Pelodiscus sinensis: one gene and its partner. The protein of the gene in region 2 interacts with the protein of the main gene of each other region in a pairwise test. Links are inferred from orthologs where the notes say so. Each region holds a gene or a part of one and is shown on either strand. Other genes may lie near its edges.

Region 1 (7,753 bases), on a different chromosome or scaffold from region 2:
TCCCCATGCCAAGCAGTGGTCTCTGGGCACTAGTAGTACTGGGTGCCTTCATGGCCTGTGTTGGTTTGTCTGCTCTTGTGAGGTGTGTGCACACCTCACTTCAAAAGGCTTTGAAGAAGGTTGTCTTGTGGGAGGGAAACCTGAGTAACAGAAAAAACCCGAAGAAGCTGTTAGGTGCTATTGTGCAGGTTGAATGTTCTTGTGCATGACATGCAGGGCTGTCAGACTGTCTGCAGCTCTGCCAGACTCGCTTTATGACCAGGGCAAAGCCACTTCATGTCTGAGCTTTCCCTTCCTCCTCTCTGAAATGGAGATGCTACTCATGGGGTATTTGGAGGCTTCATTCAGATAAGCTGGTGAAGGGCTTTGAGAGCCTGGGGCTGGAAGGCCCTGTGGTTGAGAGAGGACAACTTTTATCTGGTACCAATTTAGTAGGCACTTAAGCACAAAGATGCTGAAACAAGCTCAGATAAACTTAGGAGCTGAAAAGTGTCCCTAGATTAGGCTCTCCTAGCCACCTCTCCGGGAAAGCTCTGGTGCTTTGGGGAACTAATGAATTCAGAGCCTCACAAGGAAGTGAAAAGTTGCAGCAATTGAGGAGAAGGGATTTTTTGTTGGAATGGTCACAGCATCCGTGTTTCACTTACTGCACAGTCTCAGGGGGAGGAGAGAATCATTTATTAAGATGGAACAACTGGGGCACTGCAGCTTAGACCTCCAGCATAGAGGGAAAGCCGGAGACATTCCTGATTTCTGTGGAGCCTTCAAAGGAGGGTATGTCTACACTACAGGGTTGTTTTTTTTCTGGAAAAACAGAACTTCACTTGTATTCACACTTGTATTCACACTGCAGTCGCGTTCTTTTGAAAGAAAATCGAAAGAACAGAGAGGGGGTTTCCGACGTTGGTAAATCTCTTTCTACGAGGAAGAAGTCTTTTTCCAGAAGAGCTCTTTCAGAAAAAGGCGTGTGTGGATGGGGAAAAGGGAGTTTTTTTCGCAAGAAGAGGGGGGAAAAAGCACAGGTGCCCTAGGGGCCCATAGTAATCACAGCTTAAATGTGAGAGAGCATCTGTTCAGTGTGGACGCTATCTTTTGAAAAAGCAAATCGCTTTTTCAATGTGCTTTGGCAGTGTAGATGCTCTTTTTCGGAAGTTCTCTTCCGGAAAAGCTTCTTCTGAAAGAAGCCTGCAGTCTAGACATAGCCGGAGAAATCATTTAAAAAAAAAAAAAAAAAAAAAAGCAAACCCCAAACAAACCACCCTTTGTAGGTCCCCTCTAAGGATCTGTGGTGATGGGTTTTACAGTGAGGTGGTCCTGTTGTCAAATACTCCCTCTTTCTCTGAAGTTTCCTTCATGTTTAGCCTCTTGGGACTTGCTTAAGCCAGCAGACACAGTACCGGTCACTGTAACTAACTAGCGATTGGCAGGTTGAGATGATGGGGTGACCAGCAATACACCCTTTGGGATAAGTAATGGGAGTGTCTTCAGTTGGAGAAGCCCGGTATTCTGTGGCTACCGCAGGCTAGACATCCAAAGGAGATTGGCTCATCGTGGGAGGAGGCACTGAGGACTTTCAAATCTGGCCCCAACTGTAGTTGCTACTCACTAATATTTCACCCTCTGTCTAAATCTTTGTCCTTATATGAATCATAGAGCTGGAAGAGATCTCAGAAGGTCATAGAGTCTAACCTCCTGCCCTAGGCAGGCCTGATCCCAACTAAATCAACCCAGCAAGGGCTTTGTCAAGCCGAGACTTTAAAATCTCTAGGGATGGAGACTCTGCTACTTCCCTAGGTAACCCATTTCAGTGATTCGCCACTCTCCTAGTGAAATAGTTTTTCTGAATACCCAACCTGGACCTCGCCCAGTTGAAGCTCTAACCCTGCATCCATGCAGCCTGGGTTTTTCCAGAATCACTGCTGCTTCTCCAGAATCAGGCAGGACTCTCCCTCAGAAACTCCCATCGGATATGGATGAGGTCACTGCTTAATCATTTCCCCCTCACATAGTTAACGAAGTCATCAAAGTGGAAGGAAGCATTTCCCTGTCTTTAGCCAACTCAGCTCCAGGAAACCCGAATGCGCAGTACTTGGGTTGCTACCAGGCAGCTTTGGCCATCATGGGCTTTGAAACCTTTTCCTGTTGTTCTTGGATTCTTGCTTTAGAAAACATGAAATGGTGACCTTCATGGAACTGGGAGGTATGGGGCTGCCCAGCATTTGGTTTGTACACAATGCTGTGGTTACACTTAGCATTTTCTGCTATCTTTTGCCCTTTACTCTGCTTGTATCAAAGCATGTGGGGAATGGGAAATGTCAAGATCTAAAGCCACCAGCCCAATTGTCTGTACTTTGGGAAACTCAGCTCAGCGGTCACCGGTGCTGACTGTGGAACCCAGAAATGGGCTTTGAAGAGTTCATCCTTCAAATCCCAGCAGCCAGTAGGCAAACCACACGTTTTGCTAAATCCCCCCTGGCTCATTGGTGGTGGTAATAACTCACTGAAATAAAGGGTTGAGATGTGCCTCACTTAACACTAATCCGTTAAATGGTGAAATAAACAGACTCTGGAGTTTAATGCTGTTGCCTTCCATTGCTCCCGATATGTGTTTTTTGCGGTTACTAACGTACCAAAGCAGACAGAGCTATTTGAATTAACAGTTTGGCTACATTGCTTTCTAAGGGGATTCCAGTAAGAAATCATCACTAGTATGCATGTGTTTTGAGCTCTTAAAATGCATTTCATGTCTGGTCAAAGGAACTCCTCTTGCAGGCTCCTAGTTGAAATCCTGAGAAACCGTAGGGGCTTGAACTCTCAGCTACTGGCAGAAGGAAGGCATTGGCTACAGGCATGCTGGAACCAAGACAAGAGGCTGTAGTTCACAAATTGATGCATGGACGCAGATGTGTGGGAGCTTATTTCAGATGCTGTCCATTTCAATTAGCACCCCCTTCCCCATACCCTTTGTGGCCAACACTTGAAATAGAATCTTCTATTATTGATTGTACAGCTGTGAATTAAAACAGGTCTCGCTTTCTAGACTCTGACTTGCATACAGACAAACCTAGACTCTCCTGCCTCATCTAAACGCGTACCTGTCAAACTATTGCAAACCTCTGGCTGCTTCAGGTATCAGTGGCTTATTTAGGTTTAGTTTAAACCTATTCCTAGTTGACTTCACTTAAACTGTAATAAGCTGTTCACACAGCCTCTGGCACAATTTAAAAACAGTGAATGGTCCTGCAGCACCTTAGACTAAAAAAACATGCAGCTAGTATGAGCTTTCAGGAGAGACACTGGTGTTTTATCTGAAAAAGTGGGTTCAGTTAAACCAGAATAACTCCGGATGTAGAGTCAGCGTTCTGTCTCCCCATTTGTTCCTCCTCAGAACTCCCAGCCATATGGTTTGATTGTTTGGGTTTTTTTCACCCACTGCCTGTGGTGGGGGAAGGAATCTTTGGTTATGGACAGTCGCTATGTGACAGAGACCAGGGTCTTGTCAGTTTCACTCTTACCTGTGAAAAGGCTCTTGCACAGATCTGCAGCAAAGCTTTAAAATGGGAGGAGGGAGGCTGGGAAGAGAACATGGTCTGCCTATAGCCCCTGTGTGGGATAACGTGAGAGTGGGGAATCTCAGAATACTTAAACAAAAACAGACCAAAGTGTCCCTTGCTTAGGAATTTCCCTTCAGAACTGCAACCCTGAAATAGTTCCATCCCTCTGTCCTGCCCTCAGAGAGCTGGGGGGAGGTGAAAAGCAGATTTGGAATTTCAGGCCACTTGCAACAAACTGAACAGATGTATTCAGGTTGCAAAATGGGGCCGGAGCTTGTTGCTGTGTAACGGAGAGCTCTTGAATCTCCTTTCCTCCTGGAGTAGGTCAGAGGTGCTGCCCTTCCGCCCCAGCCCTCGGTACCACATGGCTCAGCGTGAGCTCCTATCCAGGAGCTGTTGGCTACGTCTCCAGGAATGCAAGTGAGACATCTGCTAGGATTGCTGACTCACTTGCTCTGGTGCACCGGCCACTCGGCTCTAAGGAGCCAGCGTTTTCTTGCCCTCCTTGGACTGATTTCTGCTTGTCAGCTTTCTACTTTTTAAAGCTTGTCTGCCAGTGAGGCTGGGGGAGCAAAGGCCTCTCTGCCTCGGTGTACAGGGAATCGGAACTCTTTGCAGGAAAGGGAGCCTGGCCCAGTAGGTCTAGTGGGCAGGTCAGACTTCGGGGTTCTATGCCTCACTATGCTGCTCAGGAGAAATTCAAATGCCGCCCAGCTGATCAGCAGAGTGCCACTTGCCCCTGTGTCTGGTATTCAAGGCAGTTACTGGTCCCATAAATTGGGGATAAGCCCCTCTTCCGGCTGCTCTCTGCTTCTGTACTAGTGGTGTGAAAAGCAGCTCCATTCAGCTGAGTTGATGGCTGAGGCCAAAGTGCTAGGAGCCCTGTGAACTCCGCAGTATTGTATCTCTGCTGATTCTTCACCTCCTTTTCTGTTTCAGGAGACTTGAGCCAGTAGGATACTGCAAACCCAGCTGCTCCCCTCACAAGAGCTGGTCAGTGGCACAAAGGTTCTCTGATCCGCTGGGGCGCAGGGTGTGACCAGAATCCAGGCCATGACCAGCAGAGGAGCCGCCAGGCCGAATGGTCAGTCCCAAGCTAGTAAAATCTGTCAGTTTAAGCTAGTGCTGCTGGGCGAGTCTGCGGTGGGAAAGTCCAGTCTGGTGCTGCGCTTCGTCAAGGGTCAGTTTCACGAGTACCAGGAGAGCACCATTGGGGGTAAGTGAACGCCAAGAACCATGGGGGAGCGCATGTCGGGTAAACATAGACTTCCCCGGGTTGTCTGGAGCTCCTGGCTTCCCTTGCTCCCCACCGGGGCACCCGCCGCCTGGGGCTGGTCACTTCTGGCCTGTTATCCCTGTGGGCAGCCTTCAGAGGGGCCCAAAGCATGGGGCTAAATGTTGCTGAATTCATGCTCCTTCCAGAGCTACCTGCAGCCTCCCAGTGACTCGCTGGCGCTCCTGGAGGAACCTCATAGTGCGTGTGACGGTGGTGTAGCCAATTCTCGGATCCTGGCTGAGGCAAGACGGCCAGATGCCTCTTGGATTCATAAGTGGCACGTCCGTAGAACGGGTGGTGCGGCAGCGTGGCTAGAGCACTGAAGCAGGAGTTGAGACCTGAGTTCTGTTCCTGGCTTTGCCACAGACCACATGCGAGTCCCTGTCCCCTCTGTGCCTCCCATTGCCCCATCCATAATGTGGAAACCTTCATAGCCCCCCCCCCCCTTTTCATTGAGAGCTCGGAGACCTGTAAAAGAGGAGGGCTGAGTCATCGCAGGGGTGAATCCCCCAGGAGACGTATTTGTGACTCCTTCAGCGCCCAGCAGTGGTTTGACTCTTGGGTTGCTCACCTCCACCACGCTGAGTCTTGGCTGGTGTAGAAACTTCTTAATGCATTTGCTTTCTCTCCACCTGTCTTCCCCTAGCATGGTGGGGGACACCAATAGTGCCTCATGGTGCCATACAAATCCATAGGCACCGATTAGTGCATGGAACTGGGAGCCCAGACACGTGGGTTCTGCTGTGGGCCAAATACCACCCCACTGTGTCCTTTTTTTCTCCCTTTGCAAGAGGGACTCAAGGGTCAGTTAGGTTTGAAAGTCACGGGCAAAGCCTTTTTTTGAAGGGGGATGCAGAGACCCCACCCCCACCCCTCATTACTCTGGCCCTAAGAGCTGCAGGGAATGGAACCAGGCTCTTGAAGGCTTGCCGTCCAGAGGACTTTGGGCCCCCAACTTAACCCTAAAGGATAGTGCACCCTTCTGCAAACCAAGCCCCCTTTAATGTGCTGCTAGTCTCTTTTGAAAAAGGAGGTCATGGTGTCCTGCACGGACTTGTGTTGCATCCCGCACGGAGATGTATTGCCCTGCCTGAGCGCAAACGCTGCTCCAGTTTGGATCTGGCTGTCCCCGCCCCGCACGGGGGGTTGGGAGAAGCTGTCTGTCCAACTCCTTAATGCAGCCACGAGCCCCAGTTCCTCCCCAACACAGGACTGGTTCTTGGTTGTGGTTGGCTGCTTGATCTCCCAAGAAGCATGCAGCTGGTGCACAGCAGCAGGACTTCAGCAGTAGCAGGTGAATGTTAAGGTCCAACTTGAAAGGATTAACCTGCTGCTGTGTGACCTACACCTAGAGAGGCAGCTGGCTCAGAGTCTAGGGTCCTAGAGACCTGGCTTTGTGCCCTTGAGTGAGTCACTGCTCCCTCCCCAGGCTTTGCCTGTCAATCGGCTTAGATTGACAGCTCTTCAGGGCAGGGGTGCGCTCTGCACGGCTCTGAGCCGAGTGCTACTATCCCACTGTCTCCTTTCCTCTCAACAGCGGCGTTTCTCACACAGTCTGTCTGCCTGGATGACACCACAGTAAAGTTTGAGATCTGGGACACAGCCGGCCAGGAGAGATATCACAGTCTGGCCCCCATGTATTATCGGGGGGCCCAAGCTGCCATTGTGGTCTATGACATCACCAACCAGGTACATTTGGCTTTCTCCCTTTGCTTTCCGGTGCTGGGAGCGTGGGGGGGGGGGGCGGGGCGGCGGATGAAACTGTTGTGCTCCAGGAGGAAGGATGGTCTCTCGGCTGAGGCAAGGATCTGGGAAGCCTGGGTTCTGTGTCCGCCTTGACCGCTAAGGGCACGGCATCAGGCAAGGCACTGACTTGAAGCTCCTGTCTCTTGCCTTTCCTTCCAGGAAACGTTTGCCCGAGCGAAGACATGGGTGAAAGAGCTGCAGCGGCAAGCGAGCCCCAACATTGTCATAGCCCTAGCGGGCAACAAGGCCGACCTTGCCAACAAGCGCATGGTAGAATATGAAGTGAGTAGCCAGCATTGATAGCCTTGGCAGAGCCTTCCCAGCCCCCAGCGCTGCCTGACTGCTGCTCCTGGCCTTTGAAACCCTCTTGCTATCTTGCTACAGCAGCTGGGAAGTCTGTCAGCTCTGGCCAGGGGTCAGCCAGCAAGCAGCTCTTGGACAAATGCTACTCTGACCAGCACAGAGGTGTCTCCACCCTGTGCCTCGAGATGGGTCACTGCTTCCGTCTTGCCAGCAGGATACGTTCCTGCTGGTCAAAGGGTAGCTAGCCAGGCCTGTTTAGCACAGCTGAGCCCCTGCGAAGCCTGAGCAGTGTCCTCTCTCTCTCTCTCTCTCTCTCTCTCTCTCTCTCTGCTGCAACCTCTCCGTGCCTCCTTAAGACTAGTTTGCTGCGTCCTGTCTCCAGTCCAGTGGAGATTAATGGTCCATCTCTGGAGCTGCTGGCTTAGCTCCATAGCAGAGGACCTAGGCCTCTTGTGTGGCCACAGGATTCTGGATGATTGTGAAAGGGTGTCATTGGTGAGTTTGGCCATCACTCACCCTTCTCTCACCTTCCAGGTGTGAACCTCCCTGAATGGTGGAACTTACACTTGTAGAACTGGAAGGAACCTCCAAGCCCCATCTAGACCAGTGCTTCGCGAAACAACTTTGGGAAACACATGAACTGGCCGCCCTGGTTTATTAATTTACTGGCGCTGCGGGCAAAGAGCCTCGCGGCTCCCATTGGCGCCATTTCATCCTTTGCAGCCGAGGGGAGCGGTGTGAGCCAGCCCACGCTATTTCCTGTGGCTCTGCTTGGCTACAAAGAGCGAAACGGAGCCAATGGGACCTACAAGGCTCCTTGGCCACGGCGCCAGTAGAAAAACCAGGGCAGCCAGTTACTGTGTTTCTCAAAGTG
Region 2 (8,238 bases):
TATAATAGGTATTTTTACCTCCCTGGTTTTTCAGTATTTTTAAACTGCTTCTTTAACATGTTTTTTAATTACTTTTGAGAGCTTGGTTATTTCCTTTGTGCTGTATTGTTACCCCATGCACACACCTTGGCTATGTCTACACTGGCGCAATCTTGCGCCAGAGCTATGCAAATGAGGCTAAGCATGGAATATCGCCGAGCCTCATTTGCATATCTGAGCCACCATTTTTGCAGAAGAGGCTTTTGCGCAAGAAGGAGCTGTCTACCCTGCCCCTTCTTGCGCAAGAAAAACCCTCTTGTGCAATGCCGTTATTCCTGAAAATAATCAGCGTAGGTCCACTCCTCATGCCTAGGAATCTGGAAATCTGCTTTGTTCTCAGGTCCATCAGGGAGTTTGGTCTGTTGGGCCTCTTTGCCCCTTTTAGGGATGTTGTCCCTGGGTGGTTCTCTAGCAGTCTGCTGGCCCGAGTTTCTTTCTTCTGCCTGTTCACTCCTCTTTAGCTGCCCTGCCAGTCTCCTTCCTAGCCCTTTGATCCTCCCAGCTGCTGTTAGCCTACCAATCAGCAGTGTCTGGCAATGCCTGTATTAAACCTTTGGTTTCTGAGCTAGCATGCAGGAACATACATCCCATGACAGCCTCGAGCCTGATGGGCAGCATCCTAGGCCTGCTTCCTAACCCCTCTTGGCCCAGTGTAGGGTTCTACATCTCATCAGAGGCACCCTAAAAGGCTCATTCCCCACAGAACCTCAGGCACTTGGTGAAAGGATCAGATGAAGTGGAGCTGGCACATCACCTTGGCCATGATGTCCTCCTGTCTCAAAAGAACAAGGACTTGTCAGAGACTTGGCTGCCCCCAGGAATCTGGGAGGATTAATGGCAACTGACACCCTGGGATAAATTCATCTTCTTCTCTAGTGACCTCTAGTGCCAGGGACCCCTTGTCCCACGGTAGGAGGAGCTCCTGCCTTCATTTCCTCCATCTACCTATGATAGCTGTTCCTTAGCAGCTTCTTTTTGGTAGATTTCTCTGTCTGGTTTTGGAAGCTTTTCTTCCATTCCCATTGGGTTGCATCCCTGCCCCAATAGAATAGCAGAGCTCCCTACGGTGAGTGGCATACACTTGGATGCCTGAAGAGGTGGGATTGATCCTAAACTAAGTATGGGAAGGAGATATAGACTCATCCTCCAGCTGGGGCCAATGAGGGGGGTCATTTCTTTACGGGTCCCATTGCCTGTTTTTGATTAGTGTCACTTCTATTGAGTTCTATTTTCAAGCTGGGTTTCCTTGCCTGTGATGTAGCAGCAGTTTGTAGAGCCATCAAATCCCCTCCCTGGTCAGTCGACTGATGTCCTTGGCTGGGTCACTGATGTACAGTGACAGCCAAACCACCAAGTTCCCTAGTTTGGGGAACTATGCTGAGTTCTAATGGAGGAGAAGAGGAGGCTTCATCAGCATTCTCCTGTCAGATCCCAATCTTCCACAGGACAGGAAGTCTTTCTCCCCCAAGTCTTTCTGCAGGAGACACCAGGGGAGAGAAGCTAGAGATAGATCCTCAGTTTCTTCTGCCCCCAAAGGATCCTGGAACAAAGGGATGTGGACAGGGCCCTCCATAAGGACTTTTATTCCCAGCTGCTCCAGGACAACAAGAAGGGACCCAAGGCCAGACATGAACCTGGCTGAAGCAGGTGTTGGAACATGGTCCCTTTAAACGTCCAGAGTCTTCATTGACCCAGGAGAAGATGAACTTGACTCAAGTCTCTCTCATTCCTTGCTCTGACTCTTCCTTCCCAAGGGAAATGGTGCCAACCCACAGCCTCTGCAACTGCCGATCCTGTGGGAGCCAGCCTGCCTACAGCTGGAGTCAGGGAGCCGGGCTCAGAGGTCACTTACCATCAAATTCAGGGAGGATGATGGTGAATCAGAACAGGGCTCTGCTGCTCCATATGGCCTTGGCTCTCTCCTGGGACACTGGACCTGATGTAGAAATTGGTAGGCTCTGGTGGAAGGAAGCAGGTCAGGATTAATAGACTGGTGCACATGCTGTGCAAACAAGCCCATGCTCATTCTTGGGGCTGAGACATTGTGGTCATGGTGCTTGAGAAGGGGATTGTCACAATGTGTCTTTGTCTCTGTAGACTGGGACAATGCTTGGTGTCTGGGCTGGTCTTGTTCTTTCTGAACTCATTTATGAACAGCTCATCTGGATGGATATAGCCCACTTGCTCCTCCCTGGCTCAAAAGTCCTTATTCAGATGAAGGGAGTGACTATGAGGACCCCTCCCTCCCTCTCCTGAATCTCAGTGCCAGTACGAGAGAAAAGCTGAATCCCTCTGAGCCCTCATGGATCTCTAGGAAGGAGTCTGTGACTATTCCATGAGCATCATCTCCTGCATTTCATGTGGGTACAGAGGGAACTTGGGAAGAGGTGGGAGGTTTAAGACTGTCACTCTCAAAGCCAGCCTGAGCCTTGACTTGAAGTTCCAACTCCCTTCCCTGTCCCTGACAGACGAAGGGACCCGCATAGCTCTGCACTGATTGCCCTGACCAAGGATGACCCAATGGGGTGCAAGCTAGGATGACAAACTGGAAAATGGATTTCCAATTTCTCCTTTCCAGTTCTCCCAAGCACTAAAGTAAAACTGTCTCCTGCCTCTCCTGATCATGCTCACCTCCAAGATGTATTGGAGCTTGTCTGTTTCCCAGCATGGCATGCCTAAGGTCAGACAAGACCTTATGCACAGCCTACAAAGGAAGGGCAGCCAGGGGTCACAATTGGGAAACTGGGAAAACTTCTCCTCCACGCACTAGCCCCTGCTCAGCCATTCAGCATCAAGACTCTGAGAGGTCTCACCCGACATCCCAAAGAATGGCCCAGGTCACCACTAGGGGGAATCAGTCTCAGAGCACTCTTCCAGCCCCACCTTTTTGGGAGGGCCTCCCACAAAGCCATAAGAAGGGTACCTGAAGTTGTCTCTGCCTTGCCTCACTGTCCAGCCTGGCTGAAGTCTGGGTCTCTTGGCAAGGTCACCCCCCCCCCCCATACACATACACTTTCTCTAATAGGCTAAGATCCTGCAATAAGCCTTTGTGATGTCACTTCCACACTCACCCATACCCAGCAAGGCTGATGTCCTGCCTCCCCCCCCCCCCAGCCAGCCCATTGGGGGACACAGACTCATCAGAATAAAGTGCTCTTAGTGAGCTACAGACCAACAATTGTTCATAGTCCTCATTCTGCAAGTATTTCAAAAGAACTGGCGCATTAGAGAGCATCAGGAATTGCACAGAGACAATAAATGGAGGAAAGCAACACAATCAAATACATGATTGCTTGTGATTTATTTGTTTGGTCTTAAAGGAGAACAAAAGGGCCTGAGTCTTTCTTGGTCAATCAGTATAGCCCTGCATGGATACAAAATGTATATCCATATCCGCATCTGTATCCACAAAAATAAGCGGCGGATATCCGCATTCACATCTGCAGGTTTGGGTACCCACAGATATAAAGTGGATTTGCAGGGCTCTATCAATCAGCATCGAGACTCTGAGAGGTGGGATGAGGAGGGGTCTCAGCAGATGTCCTGAAGGATAGCCCAGATTACCACCAGAGGAGATCTGTCTCTGAGAAATTCCAGCCCCACCTCTTTGTGAGGACCTCCCACAGTGACAGCATCCTCCTACATGTAAGCGGGGGAATGGTCCCGCTATTGTGGGGAACTTTCCTGGCTTCTATACTACCCCAGTGAAATGGACCAACGAAAGGATCTGAGTCCCTGCTCCCCCTTCCTTTACCTCACGGCCTCCCTGATCCTGAGGGCTCCCCTTCCACTCTCCTGAGTAGCAGAGTCCTTGAAAGCCCAAGAAGGCTGGGCCCAGGTTTCCTGGGGCTTAATCCCCAACCTTGTAGTCACTTGGGGCAAGGGATAGGGTGTCCCCACTCCGGGGTGCTCTCTTCACACTGCATGCTTTCTTGGCCCAGCGATCATTTCATAAAGTTCAAAGCAAATACAATTTATTAAACATCAACTGATTAAAGAGAAAAGAATAAGAAAAAATGAGAATGGGTAAATGAGAACACACAGTCCTGCTCTGTAGCATGGGGACATCAAAACAGCAGTTTGCAGAGTGTAGGGACAGTTCACAGTCTGTTCCTTATAGGTCCCTTATAGATCCTGACCGTGCTGCAGGGGGCTACAGGCTGGACACGCTTGCTCTGGCAGTGACCACATGGCCTCAGGCTCTAGGTGGCAAGACCTCTCTCCCAGTCTGGCCTGCTGGGCCTCTTGACTGGTGGTGTCTCCCTGCCCAGAGCCTCTCCCCCCCACTTTGCTGGTCCCAGCTGCTCACCACACCCAGCTGCAGGCTGTGCTGCTTTGCCAGTCTCCAGCTCCTTGTGTTGCTTCTCTGTCCCCTTTGGCTCTCTGATCACTGCCAGTCTGCTGCTCAACACTGGGTCTGCGCTCCTTGGGCTGTGTGTGCCTGGCTCTGTTGCTGCAGGACTGCCTCTCCACACAGCTTTCTCCTCTTAGCTCTCTTTCCTTGCTTAGAGAGACCCAGAAAAATTCCAGCTCCCACGGAGGAGGATGGGGCTTGGCCTCTTACTTTCCTTACTGGCCTGTCCAACCTGTCAATCAGGCCAAGCTGGAGGGTTGGCTGCTTTCCATTGTCTCTGGGGTCTGTCAGTCTCAGGGCCCTGATTTCTCATGGACCCTTCCCCTTTTGATACTGGGAGCTGGCAAACCAAAAACTCCCACAGAGTTTTCGTAAGGGGCTAACAGTCCCCTTATATATACACATATCAACACACACCGGTACACCCCTCATTGGTGGAAAGAGGGATGAAAGGAAGAGGGTCAAGAGAAGGAAGGAAAGAGGAAAAGGGAAACTAAAAAGGACAAACCCCCAATAACCCCAGTGATTCTACAGGACAGAGTCCTTGGTAGGAAATCAGATCACCTTAACTGAGTGATTTCTGGGTCTAGAATTCAGCTAGTTTCCAGGTGGATTAGACAAAATAGGTTCCAAACCTCTCTGAGGCTCTTACCTTCTAAACAGGGACTACAAAAACCATAGTAGGGAAGGAGAAAACTCTGGCAGAGGTTCCTCATGCTCACATAGATAAATCCTAATTCTCTCTCAGTCCCCAAGAAGAGACCTTAAGAAGGAGCCTTGCTGCCGCAGAGCCATGGGAGTGTCTGACGTTGCCCTGCCATGCGCTTCTGTTCTGCCTGGCTGATGTCAGGGTCTCTCTATGAGGTCACCATCTCCTTTCCAGTTTTCCTCAATAGGCTGGGGTCCTGTAACAGGCCTTTGTGATGTGACTGCCATGCCCCTGTATAAGGCTGGTGTCCTTTTTGGATGTTTGAGTGGCTTCCCCTGGATGATCCAATTTACTGATAGCTGAGACTGGGGATGAAGCCAGCTGCACAGCAAAGCCCTAGAGGCTGCTCCCAGTGCCACACACAGTTTTTCATTAATTAGTAGATTTTAAAAGGTCAGAAGGGACCATGAGAGCATCAAGTCTGATCTCTGCGTATCCCAACCCTCCTGTATATAACAGTAGCTAAGTTTTGATCCAAGCACATACCAAAAAGACATGCAGTATTCATTAGAAACCTCTAGAAATAGAGAACCAATCATTTACTTCAGTAGTTTATTCCAATAGCAAAGCACCCTCACTGTGAAATATTTGTGCCCTATTTTTAGTTTCACCTTCCAGCCACTGGCCTTATTCTGCCTTTCTCTACAACATTAAACAGCCATTTAATGGCTGACATGTTCTCTCCAGGAAGGCACTTAGACACTTCAATGAAGTCACCTTTCAGCCTCTTTTGTAGAAGCTAAACACATTGAGGTCCTTTCAGTAGCTCACAAGAAGTCATTTTTCTCCAGCTCTCAAAGCATGTGGCTCTTTGCTGCCCCATCTGCAATTTTTAAACATCTTTTTAAAATGTGGCTCCTAGAACAGGCAATATTCCAGTCTCAGTCTCATGGATGCCATGTCACCTTCCTGCCCTGCTCACTCCTCTACTCATGTGTCTAATGATGGCTTTAGCCCAGTTTACCATAGAACCACCCTGCGATCTCCAGTTGAGCAGCTTGCCTGGCATGGCACCTAAATCTTTTTCAGAATCCCAGCTTGCTTGAATATAATTCCCCATTCTTGGGGTGTGGCCTGCATGCTTTTGGACTAGGGCAAGGGTTTTGCATTTGGCTCTGGCAAATCTGTTTTATTTGCATGTCTCCAGCTTCCCAAGGGATCCAGATTGCTCTATATCATTGTCCTGGCCTCAGCCTTATTTACCTCTCTGCTACCATTTTGTTACCCACATCTGTTACCAGCAGTGGTTTTATACTGGCTTCCAGTTCATTGATAGCAATTATTAAAACAATTAATTCTTGAGAGCCTCTTCAGAGCCCTAGTACCAAGTACCTGCTCCTTACAGCTCAACAGGAAAAGGCCTTCCAGCCCTGCTCTTACACTGAGGCTAAGCACAGAACACATGCTCAGGAGCTGTGTTATCCATAGGCTCTGAACAACACATGGGGAGATCAATGGATAACAAATGCATTACAGTCCTGTAGTGTAGGCAGGTCCCAACTGAGTCTCCCACCTTGTAAAATGGGAACAATAAATGACACCTGAATGATCTCTGTTTTATAGGTAGGGAAACAGAGGCACACAGAAGTGAAGGGACTTGCTCATGGTCACAAAGCCAGGAAAATGACAGGTCTTCTGATTGCAGAGAGAGAGAACTTCTATCCCTGCCCATTGAAGGAAGGGGAAGCAGTGTTGGGGCAGGTGTGCGTGAGCAGCAGAGGCTGCTTGCCAGAGAGAGTATTACTGGGATCCCTTCCTCTTCTTTCTTCAGGCAGGTTCCCATCACGAGATCGGTCTCCTCATCGCCGCACTTGACCAGGAAAGGATGCTGCTTGAGTGCGAGCATGACCTTGTGCCATGTGCAGCACTGCTGTGTGGTTCCATGACCCAATGCTCCATAGTGGTGGCTTTTATGGGAAGGTGTGTCCCACCATGGAGGCCAGAATAAGGCAGGACTCTCCAGGAACCTTGTGAGAAGGACCGAGGGGTTCCTGTGTGAGAGCATCATGGAGCTGAATGCTCTGGACTGGCACTCCATGTGCACGCATGTGCACAGGTTGTTGTGCAAACCCCCCCTCCCTCCCCAGGCTGAGGAGGTTAAGCGAGGAGCACACAGCTCTTCACAGCGTGCCACCTACCCCACATGTGCATAGGGAAAGTTATAGAACTAACAGAAGTGCCTTCGCCAGGATCATCTGAGGCCTGGTAGACATCCTGAGAGGAGAAATCCTGGGAGGAGAGGACTGGCTCCAGGATGAGGAGCAGCTCCTAGCAGACGGGCATGGTGGCCTGCTCCTTCTCCTTCTCATCCTTGTCCTTCACAACCCCGCCCTCGTGGAGGCTGATGCTGGGCATATCCTGGCTGGACTCGATGACAAAAGGTGTCCGGAGAGGTGACCTGCATCCAGCTGTTCGTAATAGCAACAGGTGTGAGGAGCTGCCCCAGAGCATCCAGTTTGCTCCCTGGGATTTTTGTAGGCCTGCCAGAGCTCTTTTCTTTTCATGCGGACCCGGATGAGGGTCTGCGTGTGTCCTATTTCAGCCAGACTGGCGGCCAACCAGCCACAGACATCAGCATTTCCCCTCCTGGTACAGAGATCCTAGAGGTTGGTCTCTTCATGCCAGACCTCAATGAGGTCCAGGATCTCCACACCAGTCCAGGCCTGTGCCCTCTTTTGTCCCTGGCCAGGGCAGCCGATGGTGGTGTGGGAGACTGGCAGCTGTGGGGGGTTCAGAGGGAGTGCTGGTGTCAAACAGGGCTCCTGGGATAGGTGCTGTGTGGCATGGGGCTGTAAAAGGTCCACACGTGCCAAAAGCCCTTTTCCTTAAGCCTGATGCTTGAAGCTCTGCAGGAGAAGGTGGGCAGTGGAGACGTTAGGTCTGTGGCCAGAGCAGCCACAAGTGCGACTGTGAGAGGCCTCTGGAGGCTAATTATTTCAAAATAGCAGCAGCTGAGCATCCACACTCACGCTATTTCAAAATAACAATTTTGAAATATGCTTTATTCCTCATGGAAAGGAGGAGTTTTTATTTCAAAATAACCAGCCTGTTATTTCGAAATAATGGCTTTGGTAGTGTGGATGATCCACTTGCTATTTTGAAATAAAGGGAGTTATTTTGAAATAACTCCCTAGTG

Evidence for each region.
Region 1: the proteins of EEA1 (region 2) and RAB5B interact in binary tests that used the Homo sapiens proteins (3 or more experiments, as listed by UniProt). The link is inferred for Pelodiscus sinensis from reciprocal best matches to the Homo sapiens genes EEA1 and RAB5B.

Annotation. Positions count from the first base shown.
Region 1 is NC_134729.1:4,309,765-4,317,517, reverse strand, and holds the start of RAB5B (ras-related protein Rab-5B), read left to right. Parts: upstream 1-4,607; coding exon 4,608-4,770; intron 4,771-6,367; coding exon 6,368-6,519; intron 6,520-6,735; coding exon 6,736-6,858; intron 6,859-7,753. UniProt on the Homo sapiens protein: The small GTPases Rab are key regulators of intracellular membrane trafficking, from the formation of transport vesicles to their fusion with membranes.
Region 2 is NC_134711.1:79,636,992-79,645,229, forward strand, and holds the start of EEA1 (early endosome antigen 1), read right to left. Parts: upstream 3,058-8,238; 5' UTR 3,049-3,057; coding exon 2,963-3,048; intron 1,998-2,962; coding exon 1,892-1,997; intron 1-1,891. UniProt on the Homo sapiens protein: Binds phospholipid vesicles containing phosphatidylinositol 3-phosphate and participates in endosomal trafficking.